Macaca fascicularis: one gene and its partners. The protein of the gene in region 2 binds, or shares a complex with, the protein of the main gene of each other region. Links are inferred from orthologs where the notes say so. Each region holds a gene or a part of one and is shown on either strand. Other genes may lie near its edges.

Region 1 (6,540 bases), on a different chromosome or scaffold from region 2:
GAGTTATAACTCAGAGTGTATCTTTACACACTGGGCTTAAAAGACTCATGGCTTTTGTTTTAATGTTGCACTTCTTAAACCCAGCTATCACAACACATCACAAGCCTTTGATACAAAGCTAGGATATAGATAGCTAGGTTAGTATCAAGTGCTGATTAAGTTTAAATCTAAAAATAAGCACATCTCAGGTCTACACCTCTCAAGAATACAGTGATGTCTGAGGATTTTAACTTGACAAGTTTGTGGCAACTCAGCACACTTAACAACACCGAAAGAGAACGTTATCAGCTAATAGAAACCAATGATCAGGGGAGTGTCTAGCAAGTTAGAGTGTTTTGAAAATATAATACCAATTATTCCACAAAGGAATGTGATGTTATCATTAAGACTAGGCAACCCTGTCTGTTTCTTCCTGTTGCAAACTAAAGATTTGCTAAATTCTAGTAATAAAACAAATCTCTATATGTCTTCAAGCTTTGTGCTATTTAGCAACAAATATTTTGTAACTGTGGAACAATCCGTAGTAAAAAAAAGTTTTACAGATATTTTAGCTAAATTATTTCTTTGAATAATCTTGAAGTTTTAAATCTTTAAGATTGAAGAACCCATGATAAAGCGGCTCTCTGTGACTGGCTGAGTCCATGATGTATTCATAACAGGAGAAATCATTAAAACTCATGCATGCCTTAATACTTTGCAAAATACCTGGTCATCTCTACAAAATCCCAAAAGTGACAACAATATATTTACAGAGTAACCTTCAAAAGATCTCAGATAGCTTTTCAATCTAGCAACCATGGAACTGCAACATTTTTATTAAATACCAAAAAACCACAAGGAAAAAACTGCATTCAATAATGGGGCCTTGAACCTAAATTCTAGCTGAGCAAGCAAATATAAAATTGGTCTAATACAGGGAGACTCACAGCTACATGGTCATGGTGGGCTTAATATCCATCTCTTGGTAAATAAATAATACCATAAGGATTATAAAAAATTTACGTAAACTAATAGCTAATAAAAACTCATGTTCTCTTGAACTCCTATGTGATGTTCTCTCTAGAGGCTTGTATAAAAGCTGGAATTCTGCTAAACTTTTATAGTACTTAATTCAAATATAACTATGTAATTTTTTGGTGTGATTCTGTCTCTTCCACTGGAAGACTTGAGGAGAGAAATCATGTTGGTTTCGCTTACTGCTGCAATCTGTAAGCCAAGCACTGTAACTGGCACATAGTAAACACTCAATACATGTTTTCAAAGAATCAATTAATGAATTTCACCACAATTCCATTATCTTTTTGAGTAAGTGTCGTCTTAGTTTACCATATTTCTTATAAGGAGTTGGGCCTGAATCTCTTAAAATTAACTTAAAAGTTAAACTCAACATATATCATTCACTTTCTTCAGTTACTGCATACCTTGCACGGTTTACACAACTCCATGTACTCAGGGAGAGGGAATTAACCAAGCTAACAGGGCTTCCAGTTTGACTGGGGCCCACAGGACCCATGACCTATTAAAACCATTCATTTGAGAGAAGTCACAAAAAAGTGAGTGTCTGTGGTAGATACAAGCTTTAAGTGTGTGATGTCACCATGTGCTTTTAACAGAAAAAAAAATCAGGATGAAAGAAAGTAGCATTGCTGGAAAACAAAGCACAGGAGAGGGGGTGGAAAAGTGAGTCACTGGCAAAAATCTTTAGCGTGGTGGGCAAAAAAGGAAGACATGTATTTCCATACCTCAATTAGTTTGTCTCCTTTGACTACATCCAGATGTAAACCGGGAGGGGGCTTACCTGCCCTGAAAAATAAAAATAGAAAAAAGCATTTTCACGATGAGTTTATAAATGCAATTTACAATCACTGTCCCATTCAACATTGCAGCTCTCCTACCAGCCAGCCTATAATTAGTTCATGTTCAAGCAGAAATGTCATCCACTTCACTGTTATTACAGCTCCATTCTACGTTTGACACTTACTTCCCTAGTGATTCAACTGCTCTGAAACAGATTTTAGTGGATCTGTATTTAGAGCAGCACCAAGAAACCTATATTTTAACACTGGATCTTCACCTCAGAGAAAGAGCTGCATAGAGAGTGTAAGTACGATAGCTGGAGTGGTCTGGTCACCTGGAGTTTGAATCTGAAATTTACCCCTACTCCAATATCATATAAAGATCGAATAAATTAGTTGCTGTTTGGGGCTGATCAAGATTAGTCTCATCACAGAGTAAGCAGAGTACTGTCCTGAGCTCTGAGACCAAATCAGAGGTGCATAATTAGGGAACTAGGGCAATTCAAAACCATGCCCCATGAAACCAGGTACCAAATGAATATGTTACCCTTGAACAGGTCTTTCTACAACAGCATGATTAAGGGAAGTTTCCTCTATACTCCTACAGCCATATCATTCAAGGGAGACTCACATATGTCAAAGCACCTAACAGTGCCTGGTACCTACCAGACCCTAAGGAAAGGGTAGGTGATCTCAAAGCAGTGCTTTCTAACTACGTTTGCTGTATTGGTCCAAGTTTGAAATCAATACAGCGAAGGATCAAAACGGATATAGAATTTGTAGACTGAAGCAACCATTACAAAAGTGCAAAGCGATCCAGAAAATAGCCACACATTTGCTTGCTTTTTGGGTTTGCTAATTTGAAGTTAGAAAAAAGAACCACCTCACTAGAACCTCTAGATTTGCACACGAAAAAAACGTATCCTTGTCTAGCTAACTGAAGATGCAACACAGTCATCTCAAACAATCCTGCCCCAACCCCTCCTCTATGGAAAGGACAGTGCACCGGACAAAAGGCCATTTTGTCCACGAAAAAGGAGGAATGTTACATCCAAAATATACTTTCTGTATGTGCCTGACTCAGGCCTTGGAGCTGGGAATACAAAGATGCAGTATTTGCCCTTGACGATGGCAATATAACGGGAGACAGAGACAAGTAACAAACAATACACTGCGATCAGCTACAGCAGAAAAAAACTCTTAATTTCAGAAGCGTTTCCTTGTAAGGTAATTCATATTTATTCAACTTGTACTCTACTCAAAGGCCAAATTATTTCATTATTCTCAAGAACTTTCGAAGGGATAAAAAGGGTTCATGCCAGCCATTACTAATGCCTACTCGTGCCACAGACTGGGAGCTCCCTGAGGGCAGGGAGGGCGCTAACCTACCCTCGTGTTCTCTGTGGCAGACAGAAAAGTGCCGCACGAGGGATGCAGCAACCAAAGAGGGATGCGGGGCTCAGACGTAGGGTTGGGGCAGGGGCTGGCTCGAGAGCGCTCGGGACGTACAGGAAGGGGCCAGGTACGATGCTCCATGAGAGCACCAGGCACTCAGTCAGGAGTTGGGCGTAAGTTCGGGCAAAGGCCTCAAAGCGCTCCAGCGACTGGCTAATCGCTCAAAGGGGCTGCCTAAGTGAGCGCCTTTGAGCCCCCAACCCCGTGTTTCTTCAGTTCCTGGGCCTGGGCTCCAGGCTCTCGGTTCTTCAACACGTCGCCCGGCCCGGTGCAGCGAACAGTTTTTCCTCAACCATTCCAGGGTTTCTGAGCCGTTCGGCTCGCAGCAGAAAAGTAAAAAAAGAGCCGCCCTTCCAGCCCAGGCTAGCTCCGGCCAGGCCACTCTAGCCCTGGCCGCCCCGCCACTCACCAGGTTGGGCAGTCGAACAGCGGGAGGCTGGAGCCGGAGTTTGCGGCTGCCGCCATCTTGCGTCTCCCCCTCCCATTTGGCGGGCCCGAAGCACGCCGGGAAACTGGAAGACCGAAAAGGGAAAAGCGGCATCCCAGCAGCCTGTGCGTACGCACGCTCACGCACGCACGCGCGTACGGGGGGCGGTGCTTCTAGTGGGGACAGTGTAGGTTTTGGGATTTTTTTTTTTCCACCGTTTGTGCGAGTTGGCCGTCTCTGGAAGTCTCCAGTGTATGGTTTTCCTTGGCCAGGGGGTATCAAAGGAAAAGCGACTTTGTAGGGAGGGGAGTCAGTCTCTCCCTGCGTCCTTCTGCAAACGCTTCTGGGCTCTAAAATCTTGGGACTAAGCCGGGCGCGATGGCTCACGCCTGTAATCCCAGCACTTTCGGAGGCTGAGGCGGGCGGATCACTTGAGGTCAGGGGTTCGAGACCAGCCTTGCCAACATGGTGAAACCCCGTCTCTACTAAAAATACAAAAATTAGTCGGGGTTAGTGGCACATGCCTGTAATCCCAGCTACTTGGGAAACTGAAGCAGGAGAATCGCTTGCACCCGGGAGGCGGAGGTTGCAGTGAGCCGAGATCGCGCCATTGTACTCCAGCCAGGGCAACAGAGCAAGACTCCGTCTCAAAAAAAAAAAAAAAGAAAAAAGAAAAAAAGAGAAGGAAAAAATCTGGGGACTGCATCCTCCTCCAACGTTTAGGTTAAGACCGTCAGCCTTTTGCCCTCAAAGCAGAGAAGCTAAAGGGCAAAACTTGGAGATTGGAGTGATTATTGTTTCTACTTATCCAGCCCTTCTCCAAAAAGTGGCACTTTACTCACTTTTTTCCTAATCCACGTCTAGGCCTGTAGATTATCAGGGAATCTGCATTAGGGGTCACCTGGTCTGTTTATGAAAACTCTGGACAAGCTGGAGCCAGGAGCAGGTCCAGTCAGAAAGCAGGGGTCCAAATCATCACTGTGCTTGGCTCAAATGGTTAATTTTTTAAAAAAGGATTTTTTGCTTTTGGTTATAGTGCAAGGAAGCATTAGGATTGCTGGTTTGCCCTAGATCACCAGATGACTGAAAGAGACCATTAGCAGGGCCTCTGGTTGTAATGGCATTGTCTGTTGAGCACTTACCTTGGCAAGTATGTATTTTATATGGATCATCTCATTTAATCCTGACAAGGCTCTTGAGTTAGGTATTATTATAATTCCAGAGGAGAGGCTCAGAGAGATTGAGTTGCCCAGCCTCACCCTAGAACAAGTGGTGAGTGGGATAAAAAAACCTAAACCTGTATGATGCCAAAGGCCATGCTCATGAATCACTATTCTCTCTCACACTTTGATGTTGGTATAATTATGTTTATTATTAGCATGCAACTGATGCCCCTCTTCTTCACTTTTGTAGACGCCTTGGGAGGATTATCTGACTGGTTTTTCCTTTTTTAAATAAATCAATTGCTAAGTTCCTGTCATCCAGAAAGAGGCACTGCTCAGCAAGTTAAGGAATCTATGATGAAAGTAGTTCTTTTCTTGCTTCCATGCCACTGGTTCTGTAGAAAATCAGCCTATTCAAAAGATTTTTTGCCCTTGATGAAGTCTCCAGCCCTCAAAATGTAACTGCAATATAACTTAGAAGGAGCAAGATGATCCAAAAAGTAACAGCAATATAACATTAACTTGGATTTGAAGATGATCAACTCTTAGGTAGATTGGAGAAACCCCTTTTCCTCTGGCCTTTAAAGCACGATAAACTTATCCAGCAAGGATGGTGACTAATCAGATCACTTATCAAATGGCCTGTTAATATCCTCCTTTTCAGCCTTGTGATTCCAAAGTAAGACTAGGCTGACTGGAAAAATTCAAATTCTAAACTTGGTTTCAAGAAAACAGAAATAATCCTATGTCCCCCTCTTTTGAATACAGGGCATGATTTTTGAGAAGGAATTAGTCCCAAAAGCTTTTGAGTCTAACAGAAAAGAACAAGATACTTTCATCTACAGAAATCGTGTGAGCCTTTTGAGGTTCTATGCTCCTTTTAGGCATAACATGGTATTGAAGCCATTCCTAGTTAGCAGTGACCTGATAGCATCTTATGGCAACTTTGTCTTTCAACTTCTCAGCTTGTGTGATCCTTCTATTGCTGACTATAGACCCAGGAAACCTAAAAGCTACATCTTACCCTTCTAATTCTTTACTCCTTGGCCATGTTCTGTTTCTAGCACAGTAGATATTCACACATGGCACCTTATGCTTACCTAGGCCCTCATAAAGCAAAATGCTCTTTGTTTGGGCACCAATGATGTCAGTATAGACCAGCAAACTAGAGGACAGCAATCTAGGTCCTTAACCTTTTAAAATAGACTGATGCACTAGCTGCCTTTGGATTTTGGTATCTCAATAAAGAGATTAGTATCTTGGCCTTTGATAGATTTCCTTAGAATAAGATCTAAAGACATTAGGAGCATATTGAGGTCAGAAAACTTTTTAAAATTTTTTGATTATGTTTTGAGATGGAATCTTACTCTGTCACCTAGGCTGGAGTGCAGTTGCAGGATTTCAGCTCACTGCAACCTCCACCTCCCAGGTCTAAGTAATTCTCCTGTCTCACCTTCCCAAGTAGCTGGGATTATAGGCATGTGCCACCACACACCTGGGGTTGCACCATGTTGATGAGGCTGGTCTCGAACTCCCAACTTCAGGTGATCCACCTGCCTCAGCTTCCCAAAGTGCTGGGATTACAGGTGTGAGGTACCATGCCCTGCCAGAAAACTTTTTTTTTTTTTTTGAGACGGAGTCTTGCTCTGTCTCCCAGGCTGGAGTGCAGTGGCCGGATCTCAGCTCACTGCAAGCTCCG
Region 2 (5,142 bases):
AGTTTATTTGGGTTTGAGTGCTTCTTTCCTTTCTGCCACTACAGGATGCTCCAGGCTCATCTTGTATATTTCCTGCCCCCGTCCCAGAATCCTATTTCTACGAGGAACCCTGATTCCTTTCATTGTAGAATGGCATTACAAACTGGCTGGGCATGGTGGCTCGTGCCTGTAATCCAGCACTTTGGGAGGCTGAGGCAGGTGGATCACCTGAGATCAAGAGTTTGGGATCAGCCTGACCAATATGGTGAAACCCCATCTCTACTGAAAATACAAAATAATTAGCTGGGCATGGTGGCATGTGCCTATAGTCCCAGTTATGCAGGAGGCTGAAACAGAATTCCTTGAACTCAGGAGGTGGAGGTTACAGTGAGCCGAGATCATGCCACTGCACTCCAGCCTGGGTGACAGCGAGACTCCATCTCAAAAAAAAAAAAAAAAAAAAAAAAAAAGAAAGAAACCAAGCTCTGGGTGCTAGGTGTGCTTCTTGCTGAGATGTCATTTCTTTCAGGCAGTCTCAGCTGACAGAACAAAAAAATGTGTGTATATACTATTAAACACACACACATATCTATAAATATTTCTAGGTAAACATCTGTACTTATATTAAGCTAAACATGAGCTCATGCTGACATCTCCAACTCTAATCCATTACACGGATCATTGGAGCCTCCTCCCCTTGCTTATCTGTGAATTCCCACCCCAACAGTGAGAGACCTGGCTCCCTCCATCTGGTGGCCACTTTTAAGCTGGGTAAAAGATTACTCATTTTCCAGCAAAGGGAACTCTGGCAAGTGAGAACTGTTGATCATCCACTTATTTGCCTGTTCATCCCATAAACACGTGTTGCGTTGCTGTGTGCCAGATGTGCTAGGCCTTTAGTATTCATCTTGGGTTACGCCTGTACATCGTTGGGACCTGTTAAATGCTAGTTGAAATATCCTGAAAATATTTTTTAAGGTTCAACTTTTCATATTGGATTTCAAATAATACTTTTGTGCATTTGTTACAAGCCAGACACTATAGGGATCATTCACAGTTTTGAGGGCTGCCTATGTGTCAGATTGTGGGCTATGCCCTGGGGTTTCAAATTTAAAAATTAGGCATACATGGTTCCTGCCTTCACTGACCACATTCAAGTGGAGGAGGACAAAAAAGTCTCCACTTTACAGATGAGAAAACTGAGGCTAAGAGTGAAAAGGATCTGTCCAAGGACACAATTAGTAAGCTGTGAGCTGGGCTCAGATGTGACTCCTGGGCCAAACCACCATAACCACAATACTTGCTCTAACTCCGCCCGTAAGTCAGCCAATCTGCTCTTTCCTCTTCCGGACCATGTGGATGCCTCAGGAAAAATGAGGGCACAGGTAAGAAGGTACTTGACAGTTAGCAGGTTGCAGCACGTCTATGACATTTGAAATAAATGAGAAAATCCATCTCAGTAATTCAATTTTACATTTAGCTACCCAAACCATGGGCTTTGAAAACATTACCTGATGTTGGTATAAGGAAACATAATACAAACAATATGGTTAGATTCATTTTGAAATTTAATAATTCAATTCTAATAGTAATAAGAAACATAGTTTATGCTTTTTTTTAAATGAAAACAAACAAGTAATTTTGTAAAAGTCAGAAAACACCAGTATCCTTCTGATCTCATCCTAGATTTTTCTGTCAGTTGGACCCACTCTAATCAATGGAGGATGCATGTCTGACCCCATCCCAGATACGTGAAAGCAGAAGACACGATGCATCTATAATAATGAAAGCACAATCTAAAGGGTATTATCACACCGTGAACAGTTTCTTCCTGACCCAGAGCAAATATTAAAAGACAATATATTTACAAACAAGATTTAATAATGCTCACAAGAATAGAGTTTGCCCCCAAATGGAAAATTACACATTGTTTTGTTTCAAAAAGTTATAAATTTAGTGCCTGAAAAATCCAGCAGGTAAGCAGAAGGACCAATAGGGTCTGTTTCTGGAACTGTTCGCTAGCAAATGAGCATGCTCTGTCCAGGAAGCCCTTTTTCTTTTCTTTTTTTTTGAGACAGTTTTGCTCTTGTTGCCCAGGCTAGAGTGCAATGGTGCAATCTCGGCTCACCGCAACCTCTGCCTCTCGGGTTCAAGTGATTTTTCTGCCTCAGCTTCCCGAGTAGCTGGGATTACAGGCATGTGCCACCATGCCCGGCTAACTTTTTTGTGTTTTTAGTAGAGACAGGGTTTCTCCATGTTTGTCAGGCTGGTCTCAAACTCCCGACCTCAGGTGATCCGCCCACCTCTGCCTCCCAAAGTGCTGGGATTACAGGCCTGAGCCACCATGCCCGGCCAGGAAGCCATGTTTCACGGGAGGGATATAGGGAGAGGAAGGCGCTATTTACATCCCACTCTGCACAGCTCAGTACCGCCTATTCATTTTCTTGAACTTCTCATAATGATAGTCATCAGTTGCCTTCTCGTTAGCAGGACGCTTGCGGTTAGGAGGGGACCCTGAGAAGGAAAAGAACAGGAAAGGTGGCTTGCCATGCTGGAACCCACTGCTAGACTTTACTCCAGGTAGGCAAAGACAACTGCCTGTTTCCTTCCCCACAGGAGCCCCAGCGCCTAACCCAGTGAACATAGTAGGGCCTCCGTAGACACTTATTTGTCTTTTTCTTCTTATTTTGAGATGGAGTCTCACCCTGTTGCCCAGGCTAGAGTGTAATGGCATGATCTAAGCTCACTGCAACCTCCAACTCCCGGGTTCAAGCGATTCTCTTGCCTCAGCCTCCTGAGTAGCTGGGATTACAGGCACCTGCCACGATGCCTGGCTAATTTTTGTATTTTTAGTAGAGACGGGGTTTCACCATGTTAGCCAGGCTGGTCTTGAACTCCTGACCTTAGGTGATCTGCCTGCCTTAGCTCCCAAAGTGCTGGGATTATAGGCGTAGGCCACCGAGCCTGGCCAATACCTTTTTCTTTTCTTTAAAAAAAAAAGATGTGGTCTCACTCTGTCACACAGGCTAGAGTGTAGTCGTCCAATCATAGCTCACTGCAGCCTTGAACTCTCAGTCTCAAGCGATCCTCCTGCCCCAGCTTCCCCAGCAGCTGAGACTACAAGTGTGAGGCACTGCACTCAGCTAACCTTATGAGTAGCTTTTATTTGTCCTTACTGAAATTTTCTGACTTCTTGAGTCTCTACTGTGCTTGAGAATATGAGATTGTATGCTTGATACTGAATTCTCAGAGCAATCCTAACACAGGTAGGTTCTATTAGGATTCCCATGAGGAAACTGAGGCTTAGAAAGGGGAAGGCACATAGTCATGGTCCAGAGCATGGACTGGAACCCAGATGCCCCAGCTTCAGTGCCAACCTCCACACTGTCCCCCGCTGCACCCTGCCTCCATGGGCCCCCACAGAGCTGAGCACTCCAGGCAGCCCCGGGGCCTTTGTTGCACTCACGCTCAGGCTCTGGCTTCTCCGTGTCGCCTACTCTCAAGGGCCGGGCCTTGGGCTCTTCTTTGTTTCTCCGGATGGGTGCGTTGAGCTCTTCATGATAAACTGGACCCAAAGAGACCAGGGGACACATTAGACGGAACATGAGGTTCCTAGGGACCTCAGCCCAAATAAGGGAAAGGGGACAAGACCGCTCTCCCTGAGGGGCTTACATCTGTTGTGCTGCACGTAATTCACGGCCATGTTGGTAGGCACGAAGGAGGTCTCGCTGTCTTTCTTCTTGTTCTGCTGCTCTGCCAGCAGACGGGCCTTGGCATCCTCCGTGGAAATTATATTTTTAATTTTAGCACTATGGAGAGAAAGAAACCATACCACTTAGAAGATGGTAGCACCTTACTACTCAGATGTGAGTGGTGAGGCTGGCAGCCCAGCAGGACATAAGAAAATCATGTGTCCTGGGACACAGCTCTCCAGTTTACCAATCACACTTGTAGTCACATTCTCACGGAACTCTCACGGCCGTCAGAGAACCACAGTTACTCTGCTCTTCTGATCAAGAGCAAATTGAGTTTCAGAGAAGTAAAATGCTTAAGGCTCAAAGTTTGCAAGGCCGGAAAAGAGCCTAGAAGTTTCCCAACTTTCTACTGTACCAAAAGATTATTCTGACAATTGCACTTCTTTCATGACAATTCCCTTTTAAAGTGGATATTTTGTTTTAAGAAGGATCATAGGGAGAAGGGGTGGGTGAGCCTTTAACATGGCCCCTGCTAGAAGAAAACAGAAGAATAAAGGGCCTGATACAGCTGTCAACAGAGGCTAAAGAACCACTTCTGCTTTCAGCAGCCAGGGGCCCTTACTACTCTGGCCAAGCCTTCAGCAAAACTTCTAGCAACAACCTGCCAGAGACAATCTCGTTTGTATTTGTAGGATTCTAAGAACACAGATAAGAACATGGGGTCTCACTACACTGCCCAGGCTGGTCTCGAACTCCTGGGCTCAAGTGATCCTTCCACCTTTGCCTCCCAAAGAGCTAGGATAACAGGCACAAATCACCATGTCTAACCTTTTTTTTAAAAAAAAAAAAAAAAAAAAAAAGACAGGGTCTTACTCTGTCACCCAGGCTGGTGTGCAGTGGTGCAATCATGGCTCACTGTAGCCTCAACTCTGAGCTCAAGTGAGAGCCCAGCTAATTTTTTGAATTTTTTGTAGAGACAGGAGTCTATGTTTCTCAGGCTGGTCTCCTGGCCTCACGTGATCCTCCTGCCTTGGCCTCCCAAGTACTGGGATTATAGGCGTAAGCTACCACACCTGTCTCTCATAAATTTTTTTTTCTTTTGAAATAGAGTCTCATTCTGTCGCCAGACTGGAGTGCAGTGGCATGATCTTGGCTCACCGCAACCTCCACCTCCCGGGTTCAAGCCATTTCCTGCCTCAGTCTCCCAAATAGCTGGGATTACAGGTGCCTGCCACCATGCCCGGCTAATTTTTGTATTTTTAGTAGAGACGGGGTTCCACCATCTTGGCCAGGCTGGTCTTGAACTCCTGACCTTGTGATCCACCCACCTCAGCCTCCCAAAGTGCTGGGATTACAGACATGAGCCACCGTGCCTGGCCTGTCCCCCATAACTTTTAACTGGAAAGCACTGTGTCTTCTGCCTATGGGTCTCAAACATACTCGATGCCCAGGTCCACCTCAGGAATGC
Region 3 (5,753 bases), on a different chromosome or scaffold from region 2:
GGAGGTGGCGCTGCAGCCCAGCCAGTGGGCCACATCCTTGGCATTGGAGAGCGAAGAGCTGAGTGCCACAATGCGAATGGGCCGCTCAATCTGGGAGGAGATGTAGCGCATTCGGGAGCAGATCACTTCTAAGACAGGCTGGAAAGAGGGAGGGAGGGTCACTGCAGGCCGAGGCTCCCATCCTCTGCCTGGAGGTCCCCTTTGTGAACAGCCCAGCAGCCTCAAAATGACCTCGTTCTTCCTTCTAACTAGGAGCTCTCATGTTTTTGGTTCTACCTCCTCCACAGCAGCCAACCTCCACTAAACAATACTGTTTTCCTAAAGTACTACCAAAAAAGCTGACCTTGTCCCTTTGGAATAGGGCAGCAGGCAGAATCCTCCGGGGAGAAGCCCCAAGCCTCCGTCCTCAGACCCAAATGCAAGGCCCAATGCCAAGGTCACTCGGTCAGTCCCAGTCCCTCATCTGTGCTGCAAGGTCGCGCCATACCCCATTCTCGCCCCCGATAAGGTGGACCTCATCCACCACGAAGAGGTTGATGTTCTGCACGTTCTTGCGCTGCTTCCACCGCCGGGAAAGTATGTCCCACTTCTCGGGGGTGCTGATGATAATGTTCCCTTTGCCTAGCAGCTTCAGGTCTGTGCTGGTCTCTCCCGTCAGGAGTACCACCTTCTTGTTGAGCCTGTCCTGGAACTTCTCATACCAGTCCATGTATACCTGGCAGGCAGAGGAGGGAGGCCGAACAACATGAGGTCATACCAGGCATCTTTCACTTACCTGAGGAAAACCTGAGATGCCAGAGACCTGCTGATCTCAAGCTACGTTCTAATCCCACAGCAGCCTTTATGTGATGGGGCAGCTTTTCTTTCTTTTTTTTTTTTTTTTTTGAGATGAAGTCTCACTCTCGTTGCCCAGGCTGGAGTGCAGTGGTGCAATCTTGGCTCACTGCAACCTCCGCCTCCCGGGTTCAAGCAATTCTCCTGCCTCAGCCTCCCGAGTAGCTGGGATTACAGGCGCGTGCCAGCACACCCAGCTAGTTTTTGTATTTTTAGTAGAGACGGGGTTTCACCATGTTGGCCAGGCTGGTCTCGAACTCCTGATCTCAGGAGATCTGCCCGCCTCGGCCTCCCAAAGTGCTGGGATTACAGGCGTGAGCCACCACGCCTCGCTGGGGCGGCTTTTCTTTAATACACAAACTGAAGAAATGACCCTGCAAATTTCCGGCCTAAAAAAGCCTTCATATGGAATCACAGATGAAATGCTTCTGGGCAAATTCACGTGATACAGCGCCATGTCATACCTGCTCTGCCAGGGCCTCCATGGGGGTGATGTACACACAGCGCCCCTCTGAGCTCTGCAGCAGCATCCGCAGGATGGCAAACTCTGCACAAATGGTCTTCCCACTGCCCGTGGGGGCCCCCACAAACACGTTGTCGTCACTGTTGTACACGGTGTTAAACACTGGAAACCAACAGAAAGAAGCAGTGTGAGTACCAAGAGGGAAGAAGAGACGGACTGGGACGTGGACCACTTGTCAAAACAAAGGACAACATAAGAAATGAAGTCAGGCAGTTCTGGAGTGCAGACAGAGGAGCAGTGGCATCCGAGCCTCTAACTCCAGGCCGGCCCTGCTGTACCCCCTCACCTGCTACCACTTAACAGGTAAAGGGGAAGAGGCCAAGATCAAGAGCCCAGGTCCCCTGGAGATGTGTGGGATGACAACAAAAGCAAAGCAAAAGAAGCCACACATTGTTCTTTGCTTCTCAGGGACTAGGATGCAGGACAGAAAGGAACTGGATCCCTTTCTCTGCCCCTTCAACACTCTCCTACATTTCCTAGAAACAGCCTAAGGTAGAAAGTAAGAGCCTTAGCCCTGGCATCAACACTGAATTAAAATACAAGTTCTATTTACCAGTTGGTTCAACTGGGGCACCCCCTATGCCTCAGTTCCTCACCTATAAAATGGAACGCTAATGGCAGTATCTCCAACAGTGACTCCTTTTAGGCTTGGTGGGAGGAGTAAGAGACAAAACACTGGTGATGTACTCAGCCAAGGACTGAGACCACAGTGCCTGCTCTGTGAATGTCCCTGTTATTTATCATGATGTGGGGGAGGAGGCCTCAGTGCCACGCCATGGTTCTGATTCAATACTTGAGTGCCAGGGGCAGGCCTCTAAGCCCCCTGGGCCTGAGAAATAACCATGCCATGTAAGGCCTTGCTCTACTGCCCCTCCACAGTGACACATGCAGAGCAGCAAAGAAACCAAGGCTTCTGACAAAGGAAAAAGTCCCGGTAGGCCCCAGGGGTCACGCTGAGGAGCTCCCAGGCCTACCAAGTGCCTGAGCGCCCCCACTCCCCTGCCTGCCACAGAACACATCTGTCTCCTGGTGACTTCAAAAGCCTCCAGAGGAGGGATGGAAACACTTACCCTGGGTTTGGATGGGATTGAAGAAAGGAAATTTATCTTGGTAAAGACTCTCAAAGGCGCTGTTTCTCAGAGCAGACACGGGCAAGGGCTGCAGGTCCAAAAGCTCGGTTGGAGGTGGGTACTTCTCCGGCAAGATCAGGTGCCGGAAGGAGACAGGCAGCTGGGTCTCACAAGCTACCAGAAAAGAAGCAGGAAGGAGATAAGCTCTCTTTACCTCACTGGCCTCTAGATCCCCTCCATGGACACTGGAAACCTAGGCAGCATATGTATCACTCTGTCCCCAGCAAAGGCAAGCCCGGGACAAAGTGCAAGACATTCTTCTACTGTCCTTGGAGGGACTGTTCCTGGGGACTCGAGAGAGGAGACACTCACAGAGCCAGCGGTCAGACACCACTCGGATGAAGTACTGAGGGGGCAACGGCTCAAAGACCGGCACGAAGAACGTAATGAGGTGCTCATCCTGGGCGTACTTGGCCTTGAGGAGAAAATACTCATGGTGCAGAATCACCTCGCTGTCCACGTCCTCCACCAGAATCCAGAAAGCCTCGGATGAACCATGCACCTGCCAACAGAAGCAAGGGTGAAAGGAACGCGAGTCAACGTAGACAGCGCGCCACCAATCCAGCTCCTCTGCCCAGCAGAGCCTCACCTTCTCATCCCACTGGAAGTCCGGCGTGATGGTCAGCTCCACCTTCAGGGTGGAGCGTGTGATAGGCTGCAGGTGCACCGACAACTCCAACTTGGGAAACAGATGGACGTATTTGTGGATGGTCTTCCCCATCTTTGGCATGCGGATAAGCTCCCCTACGAGGAAATGCGAGTACTAAGGCTACAGCCCAGCCTGCCCACTATCCGGCAAACTGGGCCTGAGGGCCACTGCAGGAAAGGAGTAGGGCCTTCCCTTTATGGTCAGTGGAGCCCAGGATTCCAAGTCCCCAGACCAAGGGCCAGCCCTTCAATGGGACCTGGGGAGGGAACACAGGATACTAACGCACAGGGCTAGGAACGGAAGACTGCGTAGGCAGACTGGGAGAGACACCCAGGCAGTGAAGACAAGGGCAAGAGCATCTCACACACCGATCTCATTATGATTCAGGTCGTACAGACGCTCAAAGGGGAAATTCTTCTTCTCAATCTTCTTCACTACTTCCTCAGGGAGTTTCCGGAACTGGCGCAGAGGACACATGGACTGCCACCTATCCAGGAAGGAGGCAAAGCTGTTGGTCCCTTCTGCAGGGATGTGACAAACCGTCCACATCATGGCTTCCGAAAGTTCAGCAGTGACCACACAAGACACAGTGATTAAAGGCAGACACTGACGCTGTGCCAGCCCTGGCCTCCACCTTTCTCCTACCCCCCGGCCCGACCACAGAGGGCCTTCCCTCTTCTCAACATGCAACAAGGTTCAGATCAGACTTCAGACGTCGGGTCTGGAGATCAGACGACCCTTGGGCTGGGGACCCCACTCATGGGCACCAGCATCCGGATCACTGGGTCCTTACATGCGTTTGTCGATCATCTTGCAGAGATTCAGCGTCTTGTCTGTAAGCTGTGCCCAACCTCGGTTCAGGACAATTTCAAATATCGCTCGCATCAACCGGCCAGCCGACTAGGCAAAGAAGCATCATTCCCACTGTTAAGTCTTGACTATCCCCAAGCCTGTGAGCCACTCTGCACACGGTTTCATTACCTCCAGCTCTGACACAACCACCCACCCCAACTCAAAGGCAAAGTCCCCCGTCTTTACGCCTTTCTCCCTCCTATACAGTAGATGTCTGCCGAATGGGGAACAATTAGAAAAGTGCGGCTCAAGGTCACCGCACAACATTTTAACCTAACATTCACTGCATGATTTTAAAGCTTTTGACTCATTTAGCATTTAGAGTTCTAGGAAGAGTTGAGGGTACAGTGACCTGTCCTTAGAGGTAAAGATGAAGAGCAGCTAATAAAACCCCGCGCCGTTTTTGGATTTATTTATGAGCTGTGCAGCAACAGTGGGACATCACTTCGCTGCCGGGAAGCAGACACCGTGTGCTGTGGCTCTTCCTGTCTGAGGGCCTGTGGAGCCTTGAAGCCTTCCCTCTTAAGGTCTTACCTTTCCCACGTGCTCAAGATGTGTACTACAGAGTGGCTGTACCACACATGCACCAACCAATGACCCCGCAAGAGCAGAACTGAACACTCCTTCCATCTCACTAGCATCAGGCCTCCTTTTCCCAGCAGGCACACAGAACACAGGGACTGAACTGTTCAGCCCCTTCTCACAGCTCCCATACAACTCCACCCTCACCTGTGTGACATACACCATGTCAGCCATCAGGGCAAAGCCCTCCAATTTCAGCTGCGAGATGAAGGCTTGCAGAAGAACATTGATCTGTAAAGAAGCAAAATCAGCCAGCAGGAGACCAACCACTGAACAGTCCAAGAAAGGGAATTACATTTCTGCTCTGAGCATCCAGGCCAGGTGAGATCTTCTACAGGTCTTGATTTACAAATACTAAATAATTGTTATTTCATATAAAAAGAACATGCGAGAAGGCTGCAAAAACTAGGAGAACTGAGCAGGCTACCACACATGAACCCAAATTCAAGGTTCATCTTTTAGAAGATTATGAAAACCACTTAATCCTCATCCTGACCAAAGCAAAGAGGAGCGGCGCTCACCTTGGCGCTGGGTTCCTCGATGCTCTCTTTTACAGGGATGGGCACCCTCTCCAGCAACTTCTGCAGCTCCAGCTTCTCCTCCTGCCACAAGCAGGAAAAGGTCAAGGGAAAGCCTTGTGGCCGAGGAGGGAAACCATTCAGCAACTCGCTGAGCACCAACTCCCCGCCCCAGCACACTGCATAGCTCACCTCTCTCACTGTGATGTTCTTGAACTCAGAGGATAACGAGAAGACTCGGAAGAGCTCAATCTCACTCAGGGTGGGCTTCAGCAGCTGGTTGTAAGTCTGCACAGTGTCATTGGTGATGTAGTAGTGGCTGGCTATACGGCCCAGTTCTGTCACCTGGAGAGAAGGTTGGCTCAATCCAGTGCTGACTACTAATGAGCTCCCGCCTCTAACTGTGGACCGTAAGTTATTGTCTTATAGGTTTTTTTGTGCGATTTTTGGTAAAGTATATGACTCAATGTCCTATAAGTTATTGTCCTAATAGGACAACTGGATGAAGTCACAGCAGTGCAAGTGCCAGGCCAGGCCCAGGCACATGAAGAAAAATGGCACAATAAGCTGACCCATAGTGAAATGATGCCTGCACAGACAAGACAGCTAAATTATCCACTTCGAGTTACAGGAAAAGCAACCACTTTTCTGCTGTTCTAAGCAAC
Region 4 (5,753 bases), on a different chromosome or scaffold from region 2:
CATCCATGACCAAATCAGGTGCAACAGGCAGATGTAAAAAGCAAATCCAGCAGCAGTAGTCGCATGAAGGAAGGCTGGTTGACAGGCAGGACTCAGTGCAGCACTTCAGTTAGACCACTACGTTGTGGGATGCTGTCCATCGCTAGAAGGTACAATGACCCACCCTGTCATACCTAAAGAAACTGATTTACACTAAAATGAATATGAGCCTGAGGTAGGATACCAGAATGCCACTTCCATTAATACATGAGACATTTCCATCCCAGCACTAGGATTTAAGAATGCATGTTTGGTATATTCCATCCCACTAAGGCAGTGGTTCCATTTCTTTCTGCATCCACATCAAATCAATAGCATCTTACAGCTATGAGAACACCTACCCAAGACATAACTAGGTTGCTTTGCTTGCGTACAATAACAAGGGAAATTAGAGAATCTGTTTTAAAATACCAGGAGGCATCTACCTTGCAGTAGACTACTTGTCAGTGGCCTCAATATCTGAAGATTATAGGTTACAATCCCTGCATCCCTCTCCAAACTAAAAGCCAGAATACTTGAACCTGAAAGAATTCCTCTCCCCTAAACAGGGCTTGACTGGAGACTGACAATGTTCGTCCAACACCTTCTAGTTGACATTACTGATCTATCTGGTCAAACATGTTATAGTATATATATTTGCTATGATATTCCCAGCGGAGCATGAGATACATGATAATCCACACATTTTACAGATGAAAGGATTGAGATGTCCAAGGAATCTGCAACTTGCCTAATTTCAGTCAGCAAATGGCAGAGCCAGGTTTGTACATTCTTGCTGGCCTGGGAGCCACTGCTTCTCAAGTGACTCAATCTTTACCTTGGTGTGTCTATCTTATAGCAAAACTTCAAAAAGGCAATATTACTTCCTTTGCTTCTTATCAGAAACCTTGCTGCTGCTAAGTTCTGAAAACTGCCCGCCTTACAAATGAGGAAATCACAATGTAGAGAAAGTGAGGATTGATTGATTGACTGATTTTGAGATGGAGTCTCACTCTTTCGCCAGGCTGGAATGCAGTGGCGCGATCTCAGCTCACTGCAACCTCCGCCTCCCGGGTCCAAGCGATTCTCCTGCCTCATCCTCCCCAGTAGCTGGAACTACAGGCACGTGCCACCACACCCAGCTAATTTTTGTATTTTTAGTAGAGACAGGGTTTCACCATGTTAGCCAGGATGGTCTTGATCTCTTGACCTCATGATCCACCTGCCTCGGCCTCCCAAAGTGCTGGGATGACAGGCATGAGCCACTGCATTCGGCCAATTTTTTTCAACGTTATACACCCAGCTAAGATGAACCTAGAACTAGAGTCAAGTCTCAGTTCTAGACTAGAATTCTTCCAACCAGGCCATTGTCTTTACCTTTGTAAGCCTTTAGATCTTGTCCTTATATAAAACCTCTGCTTGAACAGGCTCCGAATGCCTCAGTCCACACTGTGACTGGGTTAACACAGGCTCTTGTTTCCCAACTCAAGGGAGAGAAATATTTCTATGTAAGAAGAACTGTGATTCTTTCTAGCAGAAATTAGCAGAGTAAGTGTTTTTGGAATAATTGCTAATGAGAAGAAGGAAATCTGAATAGTTTCCTGAAGTATAAAATCTCAAGTGTTTGTATTAGGGTACAAACTGCTATATAAACAACACAAAAATCTCAGTAGCTTAAAAAAAAAGATTCCTTGATCATGTCATAGTCCAGTGTAGGTGAGCTGGTGCGAGGGGGGAAGTGCACATGGGGAAGCCATCCCGGGACTGAGGCTTTACTAGTCTAATAGAAGGGCTGATGGCCAAAAACTAGGCTAAGAACTGCTGAGCCTAGTGGCTTCACCTTCCCTAGGGCCTTGTAATCTTCCATCAGTTCCTTTGCATCCCATAGGCTGAGGAGGGAAGAAACAGCATGAATGATCTTTTGAAAAGTGGTAGAGGGCAGCCTAGAAGTGACTTACATCACTTCTCTCCACAGTCTATTGATGCGGACCCCATCAAACTGCAGCCAAGATGGAAATACAGTCTCTCTGGGTGCCCGGGAGGAAAAGGAAATGGGTTTGATGAACACATAGCATTATTTCTGCTACACTGTCAAACACATTATTTATTAGATTGTGTCAATACTACTGTTAGTATTATTAGTATTGGATTGTACCAATAGTATTACTAGTATTGGATTGGATTAGTATTGGACTGGATTAGTATTTATTAGATTATACCAAATACTAAATGAAACAAAGATACTAAATGCTACAAATACTATAAATTTGTAAAAATACAAATACTATTAAAAATGACACAAATATTATACAAATGCTACATATAATAGAAATGATATAACAGAAATACTAAATGATACAATGAACCAAATGATACTAAACGATATGGTGATAACCAATATTAAATGACTGAGTGATATACAACACTAAATGATACACTGACACTAAACAATACAATGATACAGATACTCAACATCTGTTCATGTACAAAGCATCTCCTTGACCTTCAGTCTGAGAGGAAGAACTGCCTGCACTGAGAGAACTGCAGAGATGGCTGGTTGCAGGGTGGCTGCAGGGATCGACTCTCTGCTCCACCCACAAAAAGATGGTTACAGGAGCAACATCACTGGCAAGAAGAGATGAAGAGATAGGATGAGGCCGGGCGCGGTGGCTCAAGCCTGTAATCCCAGCACTTTGGGAGGCCGAGACGGGCGGATCACGAGGTCAGGAGATCGAGACCATCCTGGCTAATATGGTGAAACCCCGTCTCTACTAAAAAATACAAAAAACTAGCCGGGCGAGGTGGTGGGCGCCTGTAGTCCCAGCTACTCGGGAGGCTGAGGCAGGAGAATGGCGTAAACCCGGGAGGCGGAGCTTGCAGTGAGCTGAGATCCGGCCACTGCACTCCAGCCTGGGCGACAAAGCGAGACTCCGTCTCAAAAAAAAAAAAAAAAAAAAAAAAGAGATAGGATGGCGTCTGTGTTACAGAAGGTAGTAATAGTGGTTCTCCCATCATCAGCTAAGAAGAGATAGGCAACACAGAACTTTTTGAGCTTTTTTTCTTTTTTTTTGAGACAGGGTCTCACTATATTACCCAGGCTGGGATACAGTGGTACAATCACAGCTCACTGCAGCCTCAACCTCCTGGGCTCAAGAAAACCTCCTGCCTCAGCCTCCCAAGTAGCTGGGACTACAGGTGTGCTCTACCACGCTTAGCTCATCTATTTATTCTTCATAGAGATGGGGTCTTACTGTGTTGCCCAGGCTGGTCTTGAACTACTGGCTTCAAGCCATCCTCCTGCCTCAGCCTCCCAAAATGTTGGGAATACAGGCATAAGCCACCACACCTGGCCCGCTTTTTTAACTTTACTGAAGCTTATGTACAATTCTGCAAGAGTTGTTTTCCAAAATCATCCAACTCTAAAATATTTTCTTTTATCTAAAAAAATCAAATGGTTTCCATACCACTCATTAAATAAATTGACGTATTAACATAATTGGTTAACTAATTGGCTAACATAACCCCTCCTCAATTCTGGGGATAAGATTATGCCTCATTTTGAGGAAGGTGAAAGGCTTGATGGTGAAATTGAAATGCAAAGAACAGAGTTCAAGGCTCATGATTAGGTTGTTATTCCCAGATCCTAATACAAACCAGCAATGGTGCTATTCTGAGCCCTTATCCATGGGAGGTTAGATGCCAAAAAGGACTCTGAGGTCAGCCAAGGTGAGCTTGGTGACAGATTCTCCAGACCCTGATAGAACTTGTTTGGCCAAATCTTTCTTTTTTTCTTGGAGCTGTAAGATCTTTTCTTCTACTGTTCCCTCACAAACAAATCTAAAAAACAAAAACAAAAAAAAATAAGCAAACTATCAAAAACCAAAGCAGCACATCTAATAATACATTCAAACTTTTATTATGCTTCAGTTTTTAATGAGATTTCTTCCTTTAAGTCTTCTTAGGTCCAGTTAAGAACCCTGTTTGAGGGATTCAAACAACCTTGACTAGATATATGTCCCTTTGAAAGGATGTGACTCACATTGACATTCTAATACTTTGTGAAGCTAAGGTAATTGAAAAAATTCAGAATAAGCAAAAGATACCACAATCCAAAAAAGTATAGAGATCCACTTTCACCTGAAAAGTTCTACCTTGGTAAGTCCATAAGGCCTCAAAGGTTATCAAATTTCTGCTAGTTTAAGTAGAGTATCTATTTTTTAGTGAATTCACACTAAAAACAGGGTTTTCAAACCAAGTAAATGGCACTGTTGTCATTCATTCACTCATTCAAAAGTATTGATTAAGCACTCACTACACTATGCTAGGTGTGGGGATGGAGAGATGAATACGGTCTTTCTCTGGAGCAGGACACAAGCGAGACAAACATGAAAATAAACAACAATAATAATATGACCTGGTAAGTGCTATAATGGAAGTATGTGCTGTGTGCAAAAGGAAGAAAAGGAAATGTGTCCAGAGTAGTCAGGGAAGGCTCCATTAAAGAGTTAACTCTTAATATGAGACTTGTATGATGGGCAAGGGTGTGCCAGAGAGAGCAGTGAGGAGAGCACCCCAGGGAATGGGAAGAGGTGCAAAACCATGGCTGAGTTTCAGAGCATGGTGTATTGGAGGAAGTTCACATTCACCATGTTGTCCAAAATGGCAAAGGCTCAAGAGGCTGGCAGGGCCAGATCACGGGTGGCGGTGTATGTCATGCTAAGACATTTTGATTTGATCCTATAGGAGGTGAGAGCTACCGAAGAGTATGAGAAGTGGATGACACAATCAGACTGATTAGTTAGGAAGAGCCCTTTGGTGGTGATGCAGAGGACAGAATTCAGTGGAGTGGGAAGAGGGGACCTGGCAGTGGGCATGCGAAGGAAGAAATGGTTATCAGAAACATTTAGAAAATACAACTAAAGGACTTGGTACATGAAAAAGCAAGAAAGGTGGGAGTCTAGTTTCTGGCTAGATATAATTAGATAAAGAGTGATACTATTCACAAAGACAGTGACTACAGAAGAATAGCAGATTTGAGGTAATAGGAAGAGAAAATCAATTTTGATTTGTAACATTTGAATACCTGAAACATGTTATTATACTTGCTACATAGTGGGTGCTCAAAAGGTATGTTTTATGGGCTGAATGCTCAAATGAACAATGAATAAAAGAAAGGATAGCAGATGAGTATGTGGACACTCGGATTCAGATATTTAGCAGGGACTGCGATAGATCTAAAGTTTAGGAGACCTTGGAACTAAAGATATGAATTTTGGACTTACTGGAGTGCATGGAATTTGTAAAGGAAAGAATGCACAGAATAAGCAGAGAAGAGAGCATAGGAAGACTGTCATAATCACTATATTTGGCAAAGTCTGGAAGTCATTGGTGCCCCTTAACAAGAGCAATTTCAGTGCAGCAACAGGAGTAAAAACCAGTTTGCAAAGGTTGAGGAATGAATGGGAAGTTATCAAGTAAAAATAGGCAGTGATTCCTAATTCTTCAGGAAACCTGGTCATGAAAAGGAAGGAGAAAAACAGGGCCATTGTGAGAGGGGACTGGCAGCATTAAGGCAGGTTTTGTTGTTTTTAAAGACAAGGGGGTCCAAAATAGAGGACATTTTGCAAAATAACTGGCTCATGCTCATCAAAATGTCAATGTCATAAAACACAAAGACTGGGGTACTGTTCCAGATCAAAGGAGACAAACTTATGACAACTGCATGCTACCGGAAT
Region 5 (5,753 bases), on a different chromosome or scaffold from region 2:
TAGCTGGGACTACAGGCATGCGCCACCACGCCTGGTTTTTCTGGTAGAGACAAAGTCTTACTACACTGCCCAGGCTAGTCTCAAATTCCTGGGCTCAAGCAATCCTCCCATCTTGGCCTCCCAAAGCACTGGGATTAGAGGTGAGCCACCAGGCCCAGCCAAGGCAGGCTTTCTAAAGAGAAGTTCCATGGCCTTCTTCAAATCTCATTCTAGCCCCAAATAAAGCTAAAGAGTTATCATCCCACGGGAAGGAACACTGCAGGGAGAACACACTCCACTGCTTATGCAATTGGCCCCACCTAGCCCCAAACCCTAACACCCACCCGATTACATCCACTTTACCTTTCCTATGTCCCTCTCCTCTGAGTATTAAAAAAAACAAAAAAATTTTTTAAGGAAAAAAAAAAAAATCTACCACCCCATTGAGGACACCCCTCCCCAACACATATGGGGGGAAACGGGGCACGGCACGCGTTGGGTTCAGGAAAAAAACCGGGAACGGAAAAAGAGGCTGGTTTGGTCCTCAGCTTCCTGGTCAGGTTTCCCCGCGGCCTCCGCTGCCGCCATCCACCGCTGGGTGCCGTCTGCATTCCCTCGCCGCGCCACGGTGCTTCTCTGTTGCCGGCTCACATCAACCGAGGTTCCAGATGGGTGCAAGGAGATGTGGGTGGGAAGGAGTAGGGTATCGGGGATTGAGGTGCCAAAGGCCCCCACCCCTGGAGGTGGGGAAGGGGAGGATTCATTTGTGCTGATGCTCTTCTTTTGGACATGCCCTGCCATCTGTCTGTCCCTCTCTTGCTCTCCTGCCACCGGAAAGTAGGAGTTTTGGTGAGCAGAAGGCTCCAGCTGTATGCTCGACGCCACCTTGACAGTGCGTGGCTGTAGGGGGCACGTAAGAGACGATGGGTGGGTGGTAGGGCAGAAAAATTCTGCCCTCCCCCAAAGGGAGAAGAGGTTCAAAAATGTTGTGATTTTTGAAAAAGTCGAACACTACCCGCTCTCACATTAACCCGACCAAGTCTTCCGGAGTTTCCCTGGCACCCGCGCAGACCCTAACACTAGCTGTCTCTGCTTCTGTATGTCTCTTCAAGGAGTCATTACTCCCAGTTGGGCACAAGCCGCCTTCTTGGCACTTGAATGACAAGGGAGTCTGAGGAAGAGGGCGAGGAAGGGGAGGAGGCAGCGGGCGGGGAGTGGAGGGAGAGAAGGTAGAAGGGTATTTACATCTTGCATGAACTTGCGGCAGACTGGACGGATCTCTTTGCTCAAGGTAGCACTGAACATCATGACCTGCTTCTCGTGGGGGGTCATGCGAAAAATTTCCTGGACATCCCGACGCATGTCTACAAGAACAAGGAAAAAAATTGTAGGAGAAAATAAGCAAGTATGATAAACAAAGATTAGAGGTAGACTTTCCAGTGAGGTGAAGATTGCTGGAAATAGTAATAACACAACGGAAAAAGCAATGGACTTGGAATCAAGAATTGGGATCAGATTCCAGCTGTTCGTTTTAACCAAGCAAGAAATAAGATAAAACCCCAAAGTTCCCAACTATAAAACGGGGACAAAGCCCAGTGCAGACGCTCTCAAGGCCTTCGAAACATGCTTTACAGGCCCTTCTCCCAATCCTTTCCTGTCCAAGCCCCAGCCAGCCCTCAGGAGACTACAAGTATCAACCATATATTACATTCCAGGTAGCAGAGTCCATCTATGACTCTCTGGATCACTTTTCTATCAACTCAGGCAAATATGACATTGCTACCTGGAGCCCACCTTTATAACTCACCACACTGAATTGCCGAAGACCATTTGTAATGACTTATGGGGCCTATGTCCAACCCCACACTCATTCACCAAGATTCAAATCTTACAGAAAAAACTTCCATTAACCCCACTTGGCACACTAGAATACCACACCACACGAACTGCTACCCTCTCTACATTAATCCCAGACCTGAGTCTAGAAACTTATTCAGCTATAAATTCTGACTGTAAATGCTGTGCTGGAGATGCCAGAAGGGTACTGTCTTCTCTTTCAGTTTAGAATCTCCCCTATGACTTCCAGTATAGGAATCTATAATGAAAACGGTGGTGGTGGTGATAACTTAGGCCTGAAATTACCGAAGTCCCCTATTCTCAAAGATTAAAAACAAAAATCATAGAAAGATGATAGATGACATCCTTTACTGTGCTTAAAAGCATAATAAAGCCCAACCAGGGAACCCAGAGCCATCAGTCATGGGTGATAGATAAGAGTCGTCCTTGCACTGAGGCGCTCCTGTTTCAAATAAACATCATTTGGCTCCAAAGAACAACTCCCCAGCATTAGCCAAGTCCCAGCACTGCCACTCACCGAGCTGTTCAAGCATCTTATCACATTCATCCAAAATAAAGTGTTTAATGTGTTTGAGGTTGAGGCTCTTATTTCGAGCCAGGGCTAGGATACGGCCTGGAGTCCCCACGACGATATGCGGGCAGTTCTTCTTCAGCACCTCTTCATCCTTCTTGATAGACAGACCACCAAAAAAAACAGCAACCTGCCGAGAGCCAGGAGCAAAGAGTCTCAAAAAAGAGGAAGGAAAGAGTCCAATCCCCCCAGAGTTCCCACTGTTTGAGCTAAACCAATTTTTAGCATGTTTCAAAACTAAAACTAACTCTAGAGGTCACCTAATTTAGAAATGTTATGTCCCCCCACCAAACACTGAGGGTGACTGCCTAAAGTTACATAGCTAGTCGGAGCAGTCAGGACAATAATTCAGTTCTTCTGACTTAATCTAACCATCTTCCTTCATTTATGAGGCCAAGCCTCATTTTAAAAATAAAGGAGTCAGGTGTGGTGGCGCACGCCTATAACTCCAGCTACTCGGGAGGCAGAGGTTGCGGTGAACCAAGATCTCACCATTGTACTCCAGCCTGGGCAACAAGAGTGATATTCCGTCTCTAAATAAATAAATAAATAAATAAAATAAAGCCAGGCCCGGTGGTTCACGCCTGTAATCCCAGCAGTTTGGGAAGTCGAGGCAGGTGGATCACTTGAAGCCAGGCGTTCAAGACCAGCCTGGCCAACATGGTGAAACCCCATCTCTTCTAAAATACAATATTTACAAATTTACTACTAAAATACAAAAACTACAAAACTTAGCCAGGAGGCTGAGGAAGGAGAATCGCTTGAATGCAGGAAGTGGAGATTGCAGTGAGGCGAGATTGAGCCATTGTACTCCAGGCTAGATGACAGAGCGAGACTCCATCTCAAAAAATAAAAAATAAATAAATAAAGGACGGCAAGAAATTACCAGGATTAGTATAAAGTACCACAAAAAAACACATGGAACATTAAGTTTTCCTAAATAAACCCAGAATCTCAAACTCCTTCATACAAACCCCATGAAATTACTGCTTTGGGTGAAATATTATCACTTCATGTTAAAACCATTAGGTGAATAGTTGGTTAGGGATCTGGGCCTTGGTACAGTGTCAAATAACACCAGAAACTCTAGTTTTAAGGGGGAAAAGAATGACCATGGAATCAGACTGTCACGATGCTAATCCTATGGTAAACCTAAAATCACTAATGAGGCCAGGCACAGTGGCTCACACCTGTAATCCCAGCACTTTGGGAGGCCGAGGTGGGTGGATCACTTGAGGTCAGGAGTTCGAGACCAGCCTGGCCAACATGGCGAAACCCTGTCACTACCAAAAAAAAAAAAAAAAAATTAGCCGGGTATGATGGCACACTGTAGTCCCAGCCACTCAGCAGGTTGAAGCAGGAGAATCGCTTGAACCTGGGAGGTGCAGGCTGCAGTGAGCTGAGATCGCACCACTACACTCACAGCCCAGGGGACGCAGCAAGACTCCATCTCAAAACAAATAAATAAAAATAAAAATAACTAACATAAGTCAACCCGATTTCTGGCACAACAGGAGATACAGCATCACCTATGAAGGATAATTGCCAAAAATGCTTAACTTCAATCAGATTTTTTTTTTTGAGATGGGAGTCTCACTCTGTCACCCAGGCTGGAGTGTAGTGGCACAATCTCAGCTCACTATAACCTCTGCTTCCTGGGTTCAAGCGATTCTCCTGCCTCAGCCTCCCAAGTAGGTAGGACTACAGGTGTGTGCCACCACGCCCGGCTAATTTTTGCATTTTTAGTAGAGACAGGGTTTCATCGCATTGGCCACACTGGTCTCGAACTCCTGACCTCAAATGATCCACATGCCTTGGCCTCCCAAAGTGCTGAGATTACAGGTGTAAGCCGCTGCGCACTTGGCCAGAATCCTCAATATTCACACACCCCTGAAGCTGTTTTAAAGTTTCTGGCTTTCTCTGCCACACACCCCAAAATTACCAAACTGATAGGATTCAAAGTCAGTATAAAGTAGTAAAAAAAGGGTGGTCTCGGTTAAGCATCATCCATAGCCCAATTACGAATCCTCCCGTTACATAGGATCTTAACACTGTTAAACCATGGCAAACTAAAACTTCTCCAAAATTAAAGAGACTACTGGCCTACAAGTTTCTTATCCCTCCAACTTGCCACACCCTCACTCTGAGGTCTCTTTACCTCGGCTTACCTTGACATTGGGCATGTATTTAGAGAAGCGCTCATATTCCTTGCTGATCTGAAAAGCCAACTCCCGAGTGTGACACATCACCAGCACAGACACCTTAGGCAGGAAGTAGACCGAGACATACCATGAGTGTAGCCCTTCATCGTTCCCTCTAGGGAAGTGACTGACAAAAACACACCTGGGCCGATAATAAATGACTTCAATTCTGTGATCTAAATCACGAACCCCATGCTTGGATAGAACATTCCCCACAGCTGTCAGGTTGTCAAGGGTAACCGAGGTCATCATGTAGCTAGGACAAAAACACCCTTCCCTTATAGTCCTAACCAAAACCCCTTCCCCAGCACTCTCCCCAAATATACCTGCCCAGTAACTGGCTCCAGCTGTTGCAGTGTGGCCAACACAAACACTGCTGTCTTTCCCATGCCCGACTTGGCCTGGCACAGGACATCCATTCCCAGAATGGCCTGAGGGATGCACTCATGCTGGACTAAAAGTGGGGAGGAAAGATAAATTAGACTTCAGTCTCCAGATAACTCTACAACCTTTTTCATCATGCCAAGCCCATTTCTTACCACTCAATTCTCAAAATCTAGTATTTACCTGGTTCTTGCCAACTTCCAGACCCCTTTTACCTCTCTCTGCTCAATTATATTCACCTCAAAATCAGACTCTCCTAATTCATCCCAGCTTTGGCCTCCTCCAGATCTAGGCCTTCCCAGTCCTACTAACAGCCCCCTTGCATCTACCAACCGCTCACCTTCAATGCTCCTGGCTCTGTCCTTATTTTTCTTAATCTGTAACAATTCATGACATCTGAATACCTGCTAAAGACATTTCTCCTACTTAGGTTGCCATACTTCGGGTCACATAACAACAACCCGGGACAAAATGAAGGACTTGGTACCTGACCCAGAAGCCAGTCATCTCTAAACCAGTCATAGAGGTTTCCAGAGGCCACAGTTGGCCTGGCCCAACAGAGGGAGACTACAGGTCCAATCAGGACCTTTCTGGAAATTTAAAATTACAAGTCAAATGACAAAATTAAAAATAAGCAGACAAAAGAAGTCAGTCACAAGAATGAATGGCAGACCTAGAAGCTACTTTTGGATAATTAGCACTTTGGTGCTATCATGAAAGAAAGAACAAGTCTGTATAATCCTCCTCTATCCAAAATCGTT

The links.
Region 1: C15H9orf78 (region 2) and PPP1R8 share a complex: the UniProt entries of both Homo sapiens proteins name them as parts of the spliceosome. The link is inferred for Macaca fascicularis from reciprocal best matches to the Homo sapiens genes C9orf78 and PPP1R8.
Region 3: the proteins of C15H9orf78 (region 2) and SNRNP200 are in contact, whole or in part, in a cryo-EM structure (PDB 7OS2), measured with the Homo sapiens proteins. The link is inferred for Macaca fascicularis from reciprocal best matches to the Homo sapiens genes C9orf78 and SNRNP200. Residues at the interface, in NP_057604.1 of Homo sapiens: Arg5, Lys6, Ile7, Phe8, Arg9, Arg10, Arg11, Glu16, Ser17, Glu19, Glu21, Asp23, Ser24, Glu25, Val27, Arg28, Lys30, Leu31, Thr34, Arg35, Val37, Gln38, Arg41, Arg43, Pro44, Asn45, Gly46, Val47, Ser48, Ala49; in NP_054733.2 of Homo sapiens: Val1188, His1189, Leu1190, Gln1191, Glu1201, Pro1283, Ser1285, Arg1287, His1288, Leu1289, Asp1729, His1730, Asn1769, Tyr1770, Asn1772, Gln1774, Gly1775, His1780, His1784, Leu1788, Gln1791, Asp1795, Gln1798, Ser1799, Tyr1826, Thr1827, Glu1830, Leu1831, Met1834, Ser1835.
Region 4: C15H9orf78 (region 2) and TTF2 share a complex: the UniProt entries of both Homo sapiens proteins name them as parts of the spliceosome. The link is inferred for Macaca fascicularis from reciprocal best matches to the Homo sapiens genes C9orf78 and TTF2.
Region 5: C15H9orf78 (region 2) and DDX39B share a complex: the UniProt entries of both Homo sapiens proteins name them as parts of the spliceosome. The link is inferred for Macaca fascicularis from reciprocal best matches to the Homo sapiens genes C9orf78 and DDX39B.

Annotation. Positions count from the first base shown.
Region 1 is NC_088375.1:207,232,315-207,238,854, forward strand, and holds the start of PPP1R8 (nuclear inhibitor of protein phosphatase 1), read right to left. Parts: upstream 3,739-6,540; 5' UTR 3,717-3,738; coding exon 3,661-3,716; intron 1,804-3,660; coding exon 1,743-1,803; intron 155-1,742; exon of another isoform or gene 1-154. UniProt on the Homo sapiens protein: Inhibitor subunit of the major nuclear protein phosphatase-1 (PP-1). It has RNA-binding activity but does not cleave RNA and may target PP-1 to RNA-associated substrates. May also be involved in pre-mRNA splicing.
Region 2 is NC_088389.1:14,077,689-14,082,830, reverse strand, and holds the end of C15H9orf78 (splicing factor C9orf78 homolog), read right to left. Parts: coding exon 5,115-5,142; intron 3,789-5,114; coding exon 3,652-3,788; intron 3,545-3,651; coding exon 3,446-3,544; intron 2,494-3,445; coding exon 2,402-2,493; 3' UTR 1,530-2,401; downstream 1-1,529. UniProt on the Homo sapiens protein: Plays a role in pre-mRNA splicing by promoting usage of the upstream 3'-splice site at alternative NAGNAG splice sites; these are sites featuring alternative acceptor motifs separated by only a few nucleotides. May also modulate exon inclusion events.
Region 3 is NC_088387.1:1,368,206-1,373,958, forward strand, and holds part of SNRNP200 (U5 small nuclear ribonucleoprotein 200 kDa helicase), read right to left. Parts: intron 5,434-5,753; coding exon 5,281-5,433; intron 5,173-5,280; coding exon 5,092-5,172; intron 4,802-5,091; coding exon 4,718-4,801; intron 4,037-4,717; coding exon 3,930-4,036; intron 3,624-3,929; coding exon 3,505-3,623; intron 3,232-3,504; coding exon 3,077-3,231; intron 2,990-3,076; coding exon 2,800-2,989; intron 2,602-2,799; coding exon 2,428-2,601; intron 1,460-2,427; coding exon 1,299-1,459; intron 716-1,298; coding exon 488-715; exon of another isoform or gene 344-487; intron 139-343; coding exon 1-138. UniProt on the Homo sapiens protein: Catalyzes the ATP-dependent unwinding of U4/U6 RNA duplices, an essential step in the assembly of a catalytically active spliceosome. Plays a role in pre-mRNA splicing as a core component of precatalytic, catalytic and postcatalytic spliceosomal complexes.
Region 4 is NC_088375.1:117,298,216-117,303,968, forward strand, and holds part of TTF2 (transcription termination factor 2), read right to left. Parts: intron 3,856-5,753; coding exon 3,711-3,855; 3' UTR 3,673-3,710; intron 183-3,672; exon of another isoform or gene 143-182; 3' UTR 1-142. UniProt on the Homo sapiens protein: DsDNA-dependent ATPase which acts as a transcription termination factor by coupling ATP hydrolysis with removal of RNA polymerase II from the DNA template. May contribute to mitotic transcription repression. May also be involved in pre-mRNA splicing.
Region 5 is NC_088378.1:140,192,232-140,197,984, reverse strand, and holds part of DDX39B (spliceosome RNA helicase DDX39B), read right to left. Parts: intron 5,063-5,753; coding exon 4,935-5,062; intron 4,669-4,934; coding exon 4,576-4,668; intron 2,538-4,575; coding exon 2,354-2,537; intron 2,304-2,353; exon of another isoform or gene 2,228-2,303; intron 1,344-2,227; coding exon 1,225-1,343; exon of another isoform or gene 1-1,224. UniProt on the Homo sapiens protein: Involved in nuclear export of spliced and unspliced mRNA. Component of the TREX complex which is thought to couple mRNA transcription, processing and nuclear export, and specifically associates with spliced mRNA and not with unspliced pre-mRNA.